2 linked regions of the Stegostoma tigrinum genome follow. The protein of the gene in region 2 interacts with the protein of the main gene of each other region in a pairwise test. Links are inferred from orthologs where the notes say so. Each region holds a gene or a part of one and is shown on either strand. Other genes may lie near its edges.

Region 1 (8,078 bases), on a different chromosome or scaffold from region 2:
TATCGTGTTCAGTTTTGTCACCTTGCCTCAGGAAGGATGTTATTAAACTGGAAAAAGAGTGCAGAAGAAACATACAGGGATTTTGCCAGGACTCAAGGGGCTGAGTTACAGGGAGAGGTTGGACAAGCTAGGACTTCTTTCTTTCGAGCTTAGGGGGCTGAGGGGGGGGGATCTTACAGAATTGTATAAGATTATGAGAAGCACAATAGGTTGAACGCACTCAGTCTTTTTCCCAAGGCTGAGGAATTCAGGACCAGAGGGCATCAGTTTAACATAAGAGGGGAAAGAATACATGAGAACCTGAGGGGCAACTTTTTTTGTTTTACACAGAGGGTGGTACACTTATGGAATGAGCTGCCAGATGTGGTACAGGTGGCTACATTAACAATACTGAAAAGGCATTTGGACGAACACATGGATAGGAAAGGTTTCGGAGGATGTGGGCCAAGTGCAGGAAAATGGGGTTAGCATGGATGGACATTTTGGTTGGCATGGACCAGTTTGAGCCAAAGGGCCTGTCTCCATGCTGTAGGACTCTATAGTAATACACAACCTCTACAAGGCATGTCAGACCATTGGCATGGATACTATCACATGTGGAAACACCACCCAGCACATACAGAGCAGATACTCATATGACTTGGCCAATGTTATTGACTTACATGCTGCAGGCAAGGATGCCCGATTGGCGAGACCATGCAGATGCTACAAAAAAAAAATGGGTGAATGGACACCGCACAACAATTGTCAGACAGGAATGTTCCCTCCTAGTTGGGGAACACTTCAACAGTCAAGGTCATTCAGCTTCCGTTCTTCAGGTAAGTGTCCACAAAGGCACCCTTCGAGATACACAGGCCTCCAGGCTGAAAAGTAACCTTCCACCACCATTTTCGGTCTTCTACCTCGAGCCACTTCTGTATCCAAATGGCTGGTTCTGCTCATATTCCATACAATGTAACCTTGCTAACCAGGCTACCATAAAGGAACTTTGTCAAACTTCGTACTGAAGACCACCACTCTACCCTATTCAATCCTCTTCATTAAATTAAAGTTTTTTGAAGAAGTAAAGTTCGTGAGACACAGTTTCCCACACACAAAACTACGTTGACTATCCCTAATCAGTCCTTGCCTTTCCATATACAGGAACATGAAAATCCTGTTCCTCAGGAGTCCTTCCAACAACTTGCCCAGCATCACATTACATTTTGAATTGAATATTTTACAAAATAGCTAAGACAAATTGTTTAAGGCCCAAAACGTCAGCTTTTGTGCTCCTAAGATGCTGCTTGACCTGCTGTGTTCATCCAGCTCCACACTTTATCTCAGATTCTCCAGCATCTGCAGTTACCATTATCTCTGAAGACAAATTGTTTGACCATATATCTTCACAAAAACACTTATTTAAGACACATCTGATTGTCTTATCTGACCACAGCCACATAAGACAAGAATATAGACTGACCAAGGGAGTATTCGTTCATTGCTGGTGTCAAATTTTGCTTTTAATACATGAATGAAACGTTCTACATTCAACAAGTTAACTGCAAGAGAGTCAGAGTTATACAGCATGGAAGCAGAGCCTTCAGTCCAACTCATCCATGCCAACCAGACATTGTTGTTAAACTTTGCTTCTAATATATGAACAAAATGTTCTGCATTCACCAAATTATCTCAGTTATACAACATGGAAAGAAAGTGTTCGGTCCAACTCGTCTATGCCAACCAGATATCTTAAACTGACCGAGTCCCATTTGTCAGCATTTTGCCCGTATCCCTCAAAACCCTTCTATTCATGTACCCAGATGCCTTTAACATACTAGATACATTCATTCATTCACAGTAAGTGTCAGGCACAGTGCAAGTAATTAAAAAACTAGTCTCTAACCAAAAAAATGAAACTTTCCCACGTCTAAATATTGTTAGTTTCTTTATAAACAACAACATTTTCATGGGATGTTACTTCTCTCCTCATAATCACAGCAACTGTGCGTTTACTTGCTAATGAACTGAGCCGATCGGCTGATTTTTGATGCATTAACCATGAGTTATGTAGTGATATATCATAACGGGAAGGCAGCAGTCATCATTCCCCGCAGCATCTCAGGAGCACAAAAGCTGGCATTTCGGGCCTAGACCCATCAGAGAGGGGGATGGGGTGAGGGTTCTGGAATAAATAGGGAGAGAGGGGGAGGCGGACCGAAGATGGAGAGAAAAGAAGATACGTGGAGAGGAGAGTATAGGTGGGGAGATAGGGAGGGGATAGGTCAATCCAGGGAAGACGGACAGGTCAAGGAGGTGGGATGAGGTTAGTAGGTAGGAGATGGAGGTGCGGCTTGGAGTGGGAGGAAGGGATGGGTGAGAGGAAGAACAGGTTAGGGAGGCAGAGACAGGTTGGACTGGTTTTGGGATGCAGTGGGGGGAGGGGACGAACTGGGCTGGTTTTGGGATGCAGTGGGGAAGGGGAGATTTTGAAGCTGGTGAAGTCCACATTGATACCATTGGGCTGCAGGGTTCCCAAGCGGAATATGAGTTGCTGTTCCTGCAACCTTCGGGTGGCATCATTGTGGCACTGCAGGAGGCCCATGATGGACATGTCATCTAAAAAATGGGAGGGGGGAGTGGAAATGGTTTGCGACTGGGAGGTGCAGTTGTTTATTGCGAACCGAGCAGAGGTGTTCTGCAAAGCGGTCCCCAAGCCTCCGCTTGGTTTCCCCAATGTAGAGGAAGCCACACCGGGTACAGTGGATGCAGTATACCACATTGGCAGATATGCAGGTGAACCTCTGCTTAATGTGGAAAGTCATCTTGGGGCCTGGGAATTCCTCCAACTTCCTACAGACTAAGGGGGTGGCCATGGGCACCCGCATGGGCCCCAGCTATGCCTGCCTCTTTGCAGGTTACGTGGAACAGTCCCTCTTCCGAACCTACACAGGCACCAAACCCCACCTCTTCCTCCGCTACATTGATGACTGTATCGGCGCCACCTCTTGCTCCCCAGAAGAGCTTGAACAGTTCATCCACTTCACCAACACCTTCCACCCCAACCTTCGGTTCACCTGGCCATCTCCAGCACATCCCTCACCTTCCTGGATCTCTCAGTCTCCATCTCAGGCAACCAGCTTGTAACTGATGTCCATTTCAAGCCCACCGACTCCCACAGCTACCCAGAATACACCTCCTCCCACCCACCCTCCTGCAAAAATTCCATCCCCCATTCCCAATTCCTCCGCCTCCGCCGCATCTGCTCCCACGATGAGGCATTCCACTCCCGCACATCCCAGATGTCCAAGTTCTTCAAGGACCGCAACTTTCCCCCCACAGTGATCGAGAACGCCCTTGACCGCGTCTCCCGCAACACATCCCTCACACCCCACCCCTGCCACAACCGCCCAAAGAGGATCTCCCTCGTTCTCTCACACCACCCCACCAACCTCCAGATACAACGCATCATCCTCTGACACTTGCGCCATCTACAATCCGACCCCACCACCCAAGACATTTTTCCATCCCCACCCCTGTCTGCTTTCCGGAGAGACCACTCGCTCCGTGACTCCCTTGTTCGCTCCACACTGCCCTCCAACCCCACCACACCCGGCACCTTCCCCTGCAACCACAGGAAATGCTACACTTGTCCCCACACCTCCTCCCTCACCGCTATCCCAGGCTCCAAGATGACTTTCCACATTAAGCAGAGGTTCACTTGCACATCTGCCAATGTGGTATACTGCATCCACTGTACCTGGTGTGGCTTCCTCTACATTGGGGAAACTAAGCGGAGGCTTGGAGACCGCTTTGCAGAACACCTCCACTCGGTTCGCAATAAACAACTGCACCTCCCAGTCGCAAACCATTTCCACTCCCCCTCCCATTCTTTAGATGACATGTCCATCATGGGCCTCCTGCAGTGCCACAATGATGCCACCCGAAGGTTGCAGGAACAGCAACTCATATTCCGCTTGGGAACCCTGCAGCCCAATGGTATCAATGTGGACTTCACCAGCTTCAAAATCTCCCCTTCCCCCACCGCATCCCAAAACCAGCCCAGTTCATCCCTTCCCCCCCAATGCACCACACAACAAGCCCAGCTCTTGCCCTCCACCCACTACATCCCAAAACCAGTCCAACCTGTCTCTGCCTCCCTAACCTGTTCTTCCTCTCACCTATCCCTTCCTCCCACTCCAAGCCGCACCTCCATCTCCTACTTACTAACCTCATCCCACCTCCTTGACCTGTCCGTCTTCCCTGGACTAACCTATCCCCTCCCTACCTCCCCACCTATCTTCTTTTCTCTCCATCTTCGGTCCGCCTCCCCCCCCGCTATTTATTCCAGAACCTTCACCCCATCCCCCTCTCTGATGAAGGGTCTAGGCCCGAAACGTCAACTTTTGTGCTCCTGAGTGCTGCTGGGCCTGCTGTGTTCATCCAGCCTCACATTTCATTATCTTGGATTCTCCAGCATCTGCAGTTCCCATTATCACAGCCATCATTCCCCACCCAGTCCCATGGCCTCAGTTCCAGCCCCCGTAATTCCGATTGCCCAATTACCTATTTCCTCCCCGTGCTCCATGTCAATTGCTGCGCCACGTCACACGCCGCCTCCTCCTACAACGGATTTCCTTGATTCAAACCAATTCGAAGCAACAAAAAAGAAAATCAAATATAAATTTTGACAGGCCGCTGCTCGAATTAAACGTGATTCTGATGTTTTATCCTCCCACTTCGCAGGAAACATTAAGCCCTTGGAAGAGGCAAATTAAAAAACTACAAGTCCACAGAGATAGCGTCGATCTTCCCCGGCGTTAGTTTCTCGGGAATGCCCACCCTGTCAACGGCCAGTTTTAACTGCAGCATGAGTCGGTCATTGGTGAAACACAGATACCAACACAGTCACACCATGAGAACTCAGACCCCAGCACGTCCCCAAACCACAGATGTCATAACCAAGAGAGAGCGCATGTGCAATCTCCTCCCCTCCCTTCCGAGCCCAGACTGCGTGCGCGCCGAGCCTGCCTCAAGCAAAATGTGCGCTCTTTAGAAAGTAAGTGTAAACTCTCTTGACTGCCTGCCCAGGAAATATTTAAATTCAGTATTTTCTTTCTGGCAGACTGGGCCCATGCATTTTCCACACAGATTTTCTTCCCTTCGTTTTAATTTCCTGATTCACTTGTCTGGCCACTGTTATTTGATATTCCAATTAATTTAGTTATTTTACACCAGACCTTTGGAATGTGTTTGCGGCAGTTTTATGGCTTTAATTGCCCGATAAATATCGGAGAAGAATTCGTTCATTCAGATCATCAAGTCAGCTCTGCCATTCGATTAAGGCCAATATGTTTCTCAATTATATTCTCTTGCCTTCCCCCTGTAACCTTTGATCCCCTTCCTAATCAAAAACCTATCTTTGTCTTAAATACACTCAATGACTTGGTTATCACAGCATTCTGCAGCAACCAATTCCACAGATTCACCACTTCTATCTGAAGAAATTCCTCCTCAACTCAGTTCTCAAGGGTCCTCCCTTCACTTTTAAGCTGCACCCTCAGTTCCCTGTCTCCTCTACTGGTGGAAACGTCATCTCTGCATCCACTCTATGCAGGCCTGTCAGTATTCTGTAAGTTTCAATGAGATCTCTTCCTCATCCTGGATGAGCAGCATGGACAAAATGGGCTGAAGTGCCGTAGACATCTACGACTCAATAACTCAACCGAGTACAGAACCACAATCCTTAACTGCTCCATATATGACAATCCTTCATGCCCAGGATCATCATTGTTCTCAGGGTCACCGGACCTGAAACATTAACTCATTTTTTTTCATCTGCCAGACCTGCTGAGCTTTTCCAGCAACTTCTATTTTTGTTCCTGATTTACAGCATCCACAGTTCTTTCAGTTTTGTTCAGGTCATGGGTGACACGGTGGCTCAGTGGTTAGCAATGCAGCCTCACAGCGCCAGGGACCCGGGTTCGATTCCTGCCTCCCGTCTGTGTGGAGTTTGCACGTTCTCCCCATGTCTGCGTGGGCTTCCTCCAGGTGCTCAGGTCTCCACCCACAGTCCAAAGATGTGCAGGTTAGGTGGATTGGCCATGCTAAATTGCCCATAGTGTTCAGGGGTGTGTGGGTTATAGGGGCATGGTTCTGGGTAGGATGTTTCAAGGAGCGGTGTGTACTCGTTGGGCCAAAGAGCCTGTTTCCACACTGTAGGGAATCTAATCTAGTATTTAACTCACTATTACATCTCTGCTAGGCATGCCCACCTTGAAGAAGTTTTGCTCCTCTTTCCAACGGGATTTCCATTTCCATCTTCTTGCCCACCGACATTAATTGTCACTCGCAGTGTTTAACCAAGTATTTGCTAAAACTCGTTTCCACAGCCATATCACATTCCTCAGTGACTGCCTCAGGCTTAACTCACCCCTTGTGGATTCTAACTGAATTTTCATCCCTCATGTTTTGAATTCTCCCAGAATCACAGTTATCTCCATGATGTTCAATGTTCCACGGACAATTACTCTTGCCACATCCTGAGATCCACTCTCTCTGCCATGTGGCGTCACATGCTCAGACTCAATATTTCTCTCCAATAGCGTCACAACATGCTGGCTCAGAGCTGCACCACTCTACAGTTTCATTTCATCCTCCAGCTCATTCGCCGTGCTAACATGAAACATTTTCTTTTCCTTTCAGGCATCAAGGTCCACAAGATGCAACTTCTCAAAGCTACCCATGGCTCTCTGGAACCTTCCTCTCCCTTCCTCCCCTCCGATTCCATTCCCTCTTCCAAGTCCACCTCCTGTCAGCTATTCACCATCCCTCTTAACCTTCTGCTCTCTGATGGTGAATGTTCTGTACTCAGCAACAGCCTCAGCCTTATTCCTCTGCGTCCCTACCTGAACAAATTTCAGATATGACATAATGCCGAACTGTTCTTTCGCTGTCTTCAGCTCCGTGCCCATTTCTTCAGGCAACAGTTCAAAAACACAAGAATTTTTTTTAAGTTGTGAGGAAGGATCACTGGACCCAAAATGTTAACTCCTAATTTTTTCTTCGCAGATGCTGCCAGATCTGCTGAGCTTTTCATTCAACTTCTGTTTTTGTTCATTCTTGTAAGCCTCCTCTGACCCCCTCCAACATCAGCACATCTTTCCTTAGAGACAGGACCTGTCCTTCTGTCTATCTTTGTGTCATTAGCAAACTTAACACCAATTCCTGCAGCTCCTTTGTTCAGATCAGCAATGATTAATTTGAATAGCTGCGGTCCTGACACTGAATCCTGTGGAACTGCACTAGTCACCAGCTGCTACCCTGAAAAAGACAACTTTAAACTCAGCCTTCTGCCAGTTAGCCAATCCTCAATCCATGCCAGTACCTCATCCCACACACAATAGCCTCTCATGTTATTTATCAGCCATCTGTGTAACACATTGTCCAAAATCATCTGGAAATTCAAAAACAGATTATGTGTACTGGCTCCCCTTCATCTATCTTGTCATTGCCTGTAGGATTGAGCGAAAATCCTTATCATTTAAAATACCGGACTAAAACCCTGGGCTTTAAAAATTAAATAAAAAGGCAGCTAGGCTATGCTCTGAGCAAATACACAGTAACAGAGACAGCTGCCTGGAACTATTGTTCAATTACAAAATCTAATTCACACCTCAACCCTAAAAGAATAATTCACTAGACCTAAGAAACCAACTTAATCCAGACATCACGGAGCCTTTCCAGATACCAAGACATCCAATTTCAATTAAGAAGCAGGAAAATTGATGTTCCGGGTCAGGACCCTTCTTCACAATAAACCCATTTCTGAAGAAGAGTCCCATCAACTTTCCTGCTCCTCTGATGCTGCCTGGCCTGCTGTGTTCCTCCAGCTCCACACTGCTGTCTCTGACTCCATCATCTACAGTTCATGCTGTTTCCAACTTCAATTAATATTCATTTACAGAAATACCAGACATTCCATCTATTCAAAATACATTTACACTTACTCTAAACTACCAAGAAGCCATTTCACGTCAAAAGTGGGGCAACAGTAGTACAATACAACTGGGAAGCACAGATTTGGCACAAAGGTAAGA
Region 2 (7,470 bases):
GGAAATAAAAGCTGAAATTCTCTTGTGTGAGCTCTCAAAGGTTTAACAACGAAGGAAAGTACTTGCTTCAAAGATGGACCAGGGAAACAAGGCTCAGGGGCTGCAGTTGTAGACAAAAAAGCAGCACCTGATGATGGGAACGAGGGTCTTCAGCACCCATTGAGCAGTGTGCCAAGACAGGATTCATTGAAGATGTTGAAGTTACATGTAGATGAGTGAAGGGCATTGCAGGAGATGTTGCATCATTGGAGATACTATCATCTACATCCATCGCAATGTCCAGCCACATTCCTAAACAGGAAGGATTCACTCCCTCAAAGTCCAGCTCTTTTGTGACCACAGGCAACAGTTCCTGCAGGTGTATACCTGCTATCCAGGGAACTGTCAAAGTATTTACATTCCACACAACTCCCAGGTTCCTCAAATGTTCACTTCTCAATATCATCTCCACAGCTGCATTATGTGGTTCCCCCAGAGGTACTTCTAATGACCCTAATATGAAACTCTCAGACTGATGCTAAGCAGGGCTACAATGCCATCCATGCATTCACGAGGGCATTCTTCTAATAGACAATTAATATCTGAAAATGCTGTGATCCAAGATGGACAAGTTAAATCTGGGATACAATCATGTTTGATAGGTCACACTTTCTTTATTTTGGTTAATGTGGTGCACAGTCATTGAAATTTGGTCACATAAAACTGCAGCCTTTCTTCATCAGAAGAACACAAAAGAAACCAAGCAAAAATTAGAACGCAGCTTGAAAGATCTTAAAACACACAGCAAAACCGATTCTCATCCTGTTTCTTAACACACCTGTTATAGAGACTCAAATCCAGAGAAATTATCTCTCTATATCAAATCTTTAAGCTTGACTTAACTCATTCTCCTCAGTCTCTTCCTGTGAATTGTTAAGTAATCTTATATGAATATTCACAGAACTGAGAGCTTAGATTTCTCAGCTTTGAATAATCTGCACATTTATCAAGAAACACTGCTGGTTTACTCGTTTCACAAAATGATTTTTATACAGAGGTAACTGTGCTTTCCATGAACAGTCTTATACTCATTTTGAGGAGAAAAACTATATTTGCTTCAGGTCTCCTTCAAATAGCACTCAAAGCTTTCAATCTCTGAGTTTTCTAAGCTAAAATCAATCCTTGATTATCTTGAACCCAAAACAAGCTAATGGCCTTCAATATTTACCCATCTGTCATAAAAACAATCGATCATTATGCTCCGGGGCATCCTTGCTCTCTTGCACATATTGGATTAGATCTGACTGAGTTATTTTTTAAACCCTTCAGTAATCAACCCCATATGCCACAATTTGAAAACTGAAACTCTGAAAATGACATTAATACAAACATACAAACCTAATACCTTTTATCATAATGTTTTTTTTTCTATTCATTTTGTGGGATGTGGGCATCGCTGGCTTGCCAACGTTTATTGACCATCCCCAGTTGCCCTTGAGAAGGTGGTGGTGAGCTGCCTTCTTGGACTGCTGCAGTCCACCTGCTGTGGGTTGACCCACAATGCTGTTAGGGAGGGAATTCTAGGATTTGGACCCAGTGACACCGAAGGAACGGTGATATATTTCCAAGTCAGGATGGTGAGTGGCTTGGAGGGGAACGTGGAGGTGGTGGTGTTCCCATATATCTGCTGCCCTTGTCCAACTAGATAGAAGTGGTCGTGGATTTGGAAGGTGCTGTCTGAGGATTTTGGTGAATTTCTGTAGTGCATCTTGTAGACGGTACACACTGCTGCTACTGAGCATCAGTGGTGGAGGGAGTGAATGCTTGTGGATATGATGTCAATCAAGTGATCTGCTTTGTCATGGATGGTGTCAAGCTTTTTGAGTCTTGTTGGGGCTACACTCTTCCAGGCAAGTGGGGAGTATTCCATCACATTCCTGACTTGTGTCTTGTAGATGGTGGGCAGGCTTTGAGGAGTCAGGAGGTGAGTTACATGCTGCAGTATTCCCAGCTTTTGGCCTGCTATTGTAGCTAATCTGTCAATGTGGTGAGTCCAGTTGAGTTTCTGATCAATGGTAACCCCCAGGATGTTGATAGTGGGGGATTCAGTGATGGTAACACCATTGAATGTCAAGGGGTGATGGTTAGATTGTCTCTTATTGGTGATGGTCATAGCCTGGCAGTTCTGTGACACAAATGTCACTTGCCACTTGTCAGCCCAAGCCTGGATATTGTCCAGATCTTGTTGCATGTGAACACGGACTGCTTCAGTATAGCTGAGGAGTCACGAATGGTGCTGAACATTATGCAATCATTGGCGAACATCCCCATTTCTGACTTTCTCATGGAGGGAAGGTCATTGATGAAGCAGCTGAAGATGGTTGAGCCTAGGACACTACCTTGAGGAGAGCCTGCAGAGATGTCCTGGAGCTGAGATTATTGACCTCCTACAACCACAACCACAACCATTTCCTATGTGTCAGGTACGACTCCAACTACTGGAACGTTTGCCCGTGATACCCATTAATTCCAGTTTTGCCAGGGCTCCTTGATGCCATACTCAGTCAAATGCAGCCTTGATATCAAGGGCTGTCACTCTCACCTCACCTCTAGAATTCAGCTCTTTTGTCCATGTTGGAACCAAGGCTGTAATGAGATCAGGAGCTGAGTGACCTTAGTGTAACTCAAACTGGCCGTCACTGAGCAGGTTATTTCTGAGCAGGTATTGCTTGTTAGCACTGTTGGTGACAGCTTCCATCAGTTTACCGACAATCGAGCGGAGACTGATGGGGTGGTAATTGGCCGGGTTGGATTTGTCTCTGCCTGGATGATCAGAGGGCGCACTCTGGAATTCGCCAGACAGAACTGTGATTGTTTGCTGTGTACTAAACAACTTAGCTCATTTCTGAGATAGTAAGATCTGCTGATGCTGGAGTCAAAGATAACACAGTGTGGAGCTGGGAGAACACAGCAGGCCACGCAGCATCAGAGGAGCAGGAAAGCTGACGTTTCGGGTCGGGACCCTTCTTCAGAGGAAGATTTCTGAAGAAGGGTCCCAACCTAAAACATCAGTTTTCCTGCTTCTCTGATGCTGCCTGGCCTGCTGTGTTCTCCCAGCTCCACACTGTGTTACCTCTTAGCTCATTTCTGTTGTGAGAATGGAGAAGAGAGAACAATGGGCCATCCAACTGCCTCCTGAGACGAGAAAGAAAAGGAATCTGATCGAGCTTTCGCATGGCCCAATGCTGGTAATGGCTAATTATGGCATACAAGCATTTGTGCCTTCAAGAGAATGCTTGTTTCATACCTCTAAAACATTAAGATACTTTATTTGCATTAATTGTAAGTTAATTTGTTTCCTTGGCATCAATATTTCCTGGTGAGTTACCTGACCAGAGCATCAGCACAGAATTTGCAGGATTACAGGGGAATTGAGCTTTTACGAGTCGCCCAAGCCTCGATTTTCTCATTGACACCATTGTCAGTAGTGCTCTTTTTAAAGTCAGTCACTCCTAAGTTGGTACTGATTGTGGAACTGGAAATGGGGGAACAGAAGTAAATTGCTAATGGCATACAGTTACAACTTCAGGTTTAAAATCTATGGATTCTACAATGATTGAGGTAGTAGCTGGGTCTGGCTGAACTAAGGTTGGGTAGATGCTATGCATCTTGGTTTCATTGAAAATCCAGCAAGCAGGGAGACAGTGTTTACAATGATATACATAAATGTTGGGAAGAACAAAAGAAGAAAGTGCCAGTTTATTTACCCTCTCCAGGCTTTGGGCTATGTCCACTGTGCTTAGTCCTGTTCCAGTAAATGTGTCTTTCTCTGAACTTCAGCATGTGGCTTACAGTTTATCCTTATTCCAGCCCCATAACTTCTGCAGCCGTACCCTGCTTTGTTTATCCAATATTCTTCTCCCTGCCCTAATGCAATACATTATTTTCCAAGCCTTTGCGTTGGCCTTGTGCCTGGATTGTTGCCCTTCCAGTTGCAGAATTAGATGGATTCCTGTTAAACAAAGGAGTAACAAATTATTGGGGATAGGGGGGAATGTGGAGTAATCAGATTTGCCAAACTTTGGGGCGAGCTCGAAGCGCAGAATGGCCTAGTCCTGCTCCTCGTTTGTATGTTTGCACGCATCAGTGTTTACTATTTTAGTACTTTTTCTAATCTCCGCTTGTATTCTTCCTGGGCCAACATTATTACCTTTGAATTTCCCCAATACCTACATCATTAATTTTCCCTTTGTCCTATTACTATGTGTTATGACTGTCCCTATCTTTTCCATGTTTAATTTCGAATTCCTGAAACTTTTCCCGTTTTATCAGCGACCCGCCTACTCGCTGAATGCGTCGCCATTGATTGGTCGGTGCCGGGCAGGAGCCTGAGCCTGATTGGTTGAGTCTAGCTGACAGATTCTGCGGCAGTCCTGTTCGGCTCGGCTCGGCTCTGGGACCCGGGGAGCAGCGGTGGCCGTTGCGGGAGGGTCGCTTCCAGCCTGAGCTAGGCTCGGGCGCGGTGTGCTTGGTGAGTATAATGCTAATTTCCTGAACAGGGAGAAGTGCATTATCATCCTCACATCGGATAAGGGGCGGTGCAGGCTACAAGACACCTATTTGATGGAATGTGGTCGGTAGGGATCTACCCCTGTCTGCAGCGTCGTTGGGGGGGGGGCGTTATACCTAGGCTGAGCTTCAGCGGCAGCCGGGGTGGACTGGGCGTTTTGGGTCACAGCGGGGGTGCCTCTCCTGTCTGATAGGAGACCAGAGGGAGAGTGCTGTTTGTTTTTAAAGCCCTGCAGTGGTCTCCAGGTGCCAAACATGAAAACACGGCAGCGGAGAAAGCAGCTGCGTTAGCCAAAGACGGGGGTGGGTGGGAGAAAATCATTTGTCAACACAGATTGAATCAGGAGCACCTGACCAGAGAGAGCGAGAGAGAGAGCCAGGTCATTCTCACCAGAAGGACGTTGTTGCTTTCAGCAGCACGACGTTATAACACACAAGTCACCGGTTTCCCCCTCTTGCATTCTCTCAGGGCGAGAGCCTTAACCATCGGCCTGGCGACTCCGTTCAGCCGGCTGGTTCCGTTCTGTCCGAGGTGCGGATTTAACCCATGAGTAGCCCAGCTGCGAGCTAACCCTGCATTGCAGCTCTGTGGACTAACACCAGCTGGTAGGCATTAGTCTGAATGAATTCTGTTTCTGCAATTTTAGTTTATTAAGCTTGCGTTTTGATGTTTTTTTAATTACTAAGTGAAGGTATTTTCCATGGCTCGAATTCTTTCTGTAGATTGTAAGTAAGGTTAGGAGATGGTGTTTTCGCTCAGGCTACTGTACAGGCTGTTTCCCTGGCAACAGCATCCTCCTAGTGTCATTATGTGCACCTGTACAATTCCACTGCAATGCACAATGTGACCCTTCCAGCATTCCAATGGGCCTCCTTGAATTTGAGCCTGGAATGTGGGGTCTAGTGCATGTACTATTAACTAGCCCTTGAATTTGCTACTTTTCTTTGTCTGTGGTGGAAAATCATGGCAGATCCCTCTCCTGCATTTCTGGCATATCAAAGGTAATTGATCAAATGGTAGTAAATAGTATTGAGGTACAGATCAGCTATGATCTTATTCAAATGAGAAATAGGCAGAATGGGCTTGATATTTATATATTTATGTGAATTAAACTTTTTTGGTCATCTTATTGCTGCTGCATGAAGATATTTCTTGTCACAATTAAACCTGTTACACAGAGTAATGAGTTTAAAGGTTTTGATCAGTTTATTATTTGGTTTTGGGGTTGGCTAGATTGAGCAGAAAAAGTGCTGTGCCTGCTCTTGACCTTGTCATGTTATGTTGGTTAGTGTGGGAGGTACTGTTTCACCTCTGGGGCGATGGTATCAGTATCCTGGGACTGTGGGATGAGACGGTGTTTGCTAAGGAAGCCTTTCAGGTGTAGCAGGTATCTGGGAGTCTTCCTGGGGCAACCAGGTATTCAGCAACCACGGGGTTACGTACAAACCAACTCCACACCACCTCCCTTCTAGCATTGATTGTTACCTTTGTACTGAGGGAAATATGCAGTGGGGACAAATGGGACAATGTTGGTCAATTTCTATTCAACACTCCCTTTGCCAAAACAGTTGTGTTAGCTAGTTTCAGAGATAACCGGGTACATCCAAAATCATCATGCCCCCTAACCTGACTGCATTTAAATACGTGTAGCTGTGTTCATTGCTCAGCTGAATTGCCCTTTTATTTCTCCTCAACTTCAGTTGTGCCTAGTTCCACAAAGTTCTTCCTCTCTTCATCTTCACTGTATTGAAACTAAAAACCATCATGCACAGCTAGTGCCTCCTTTTACCAGGAGTTCAAAATGGTGAAGCCTTTACCCTGTGTATGTTGTGCTGAGAAACCCACTCATCTCTGACTATGTAACTGGGTGGAGGCATTTCATCTCTCAGAAATGAGGGTACCATCCTGGCCAAAGTTTGGGTTTGGGTGATTTCCTGATTTCTTGTCTCATGGGTCAAATTCTTTTTTCCTCCTTTTAAACAGTTAAAATGCTGCTGACGCTTGTGATGTAATAACATTCTGTGGTTTGGCAAAGGGAAGAGTTCCATGCGGTGATAGATCAAATCTAAGTTATAGTGCTCACTTTACAGCCCTGAGTTGCTGGAATATGTTTTAGCACATGTGGAAATATGACATCCCAGTGGTACATGTGCTACAGTTGATCCTAGAGCAGTCTCCTGACCTGGTTGACAACACCTGTGTAGTTTATAACTACATTCAATAAAGCTTCACTCTCTGTCCTCTGTTTTACCCTATTCAGCCTGATCATCTCCAACTGAGACTGGAAAAGCCCCAAATTTCTTCAGCCTGTTCTTGTTGGTATTGCTTCACTGGGGTAATGCTGCAGGCACCTCGGGCACAGAGTGATTGATTTATAAAGCAGGAATTATGAGTTGTTCTCAGGTGCAGTTGGTTGGCAGTAGCAACACTGAAACGTTTTGACTCATTAAAGGGTAACACATTTGCTGTTGGTGTGCATGCTACAAAATGTCAGTAAGGAGCTGGAGTCCGTGGTATTTATACCATAAGCATTCATTGCAGAGAGAGAGGCAGACATTTGGTTTACGTATGGCTTGAAGATGCTATGCTGGGTAAGATGACAAAGCAGAATAACTGCAGTATTGTTGATGTTACTTCCCAGGCTTGTGTTCAAACCTGCCAAGCAGGGTCTAGGCCCAAAACGTCGGCTTTCTTGCTCCTCTGCTGCTTGGCCTGCTGTGTTCATCCAGCTCTACACCTTGTCACTTCCGATTCTCCAGCATCTGCAGTTCCCACTACCTCTGAAACAGGGAGCAATCTGGTTGCCAGTACAGTGATTGTTTAAATTGACTGAACGGAAGTTGCTGCGTTATGTTCAAAATCCTGCACTGGCCACTTGTACCATGTGCTGCGTGCACTTGATTCTGGTTTCTCGGGATTGC

Evidence for each region.
Region 1: the proteins of kifc3 (region 2) and deuterosome assembly protein 1-like interact in binary tests that used the Homo sapiens proteins (3 or more experiments, as listed by UniProt). The two-hybrid records come from large-scale screens. The link is inferred for Stegostoma tigrinum from reciprocal best matches to the Homo sapiens genes KIFC3 and DEUP1.

What each region holds. Positions count from the first base shown.
Region 1 is NC_081359.1:48,534,131-48,542,208, reverse strand, and holds the start of deuterosome assembly protein 1-like, read left to right. Parts: upstream 1-5,011; 5' UTR 5,012-5,038; intron 5,039-8,078. Other genes in the region: neutral amino acid uniporter 4-like, read right to left, coding at 4,546-4,567. UniProt on the Homo sapiens protein: Key structural component of the deuterosome, a structure that promotes de novo centriole amplification in multiciliated cells.
Region 2 is NC_081369.1:11,092,543-11,100,012, reverse strand, and holds the start of kifc3 (kinesin-like protein KIFC3), read left to right. Parts: upstream 1-4,403; 5' UTR 4,404-4,510; intron 4,511-4,939; exon of another isoform or gene 4,940-5,072; intron 5,073-7,470. UniProt on the Homo sapiens protein: Minus-end microtubule-dependent motor protein. Involved in apically targeted transport. Required for zonula adherens maintenance.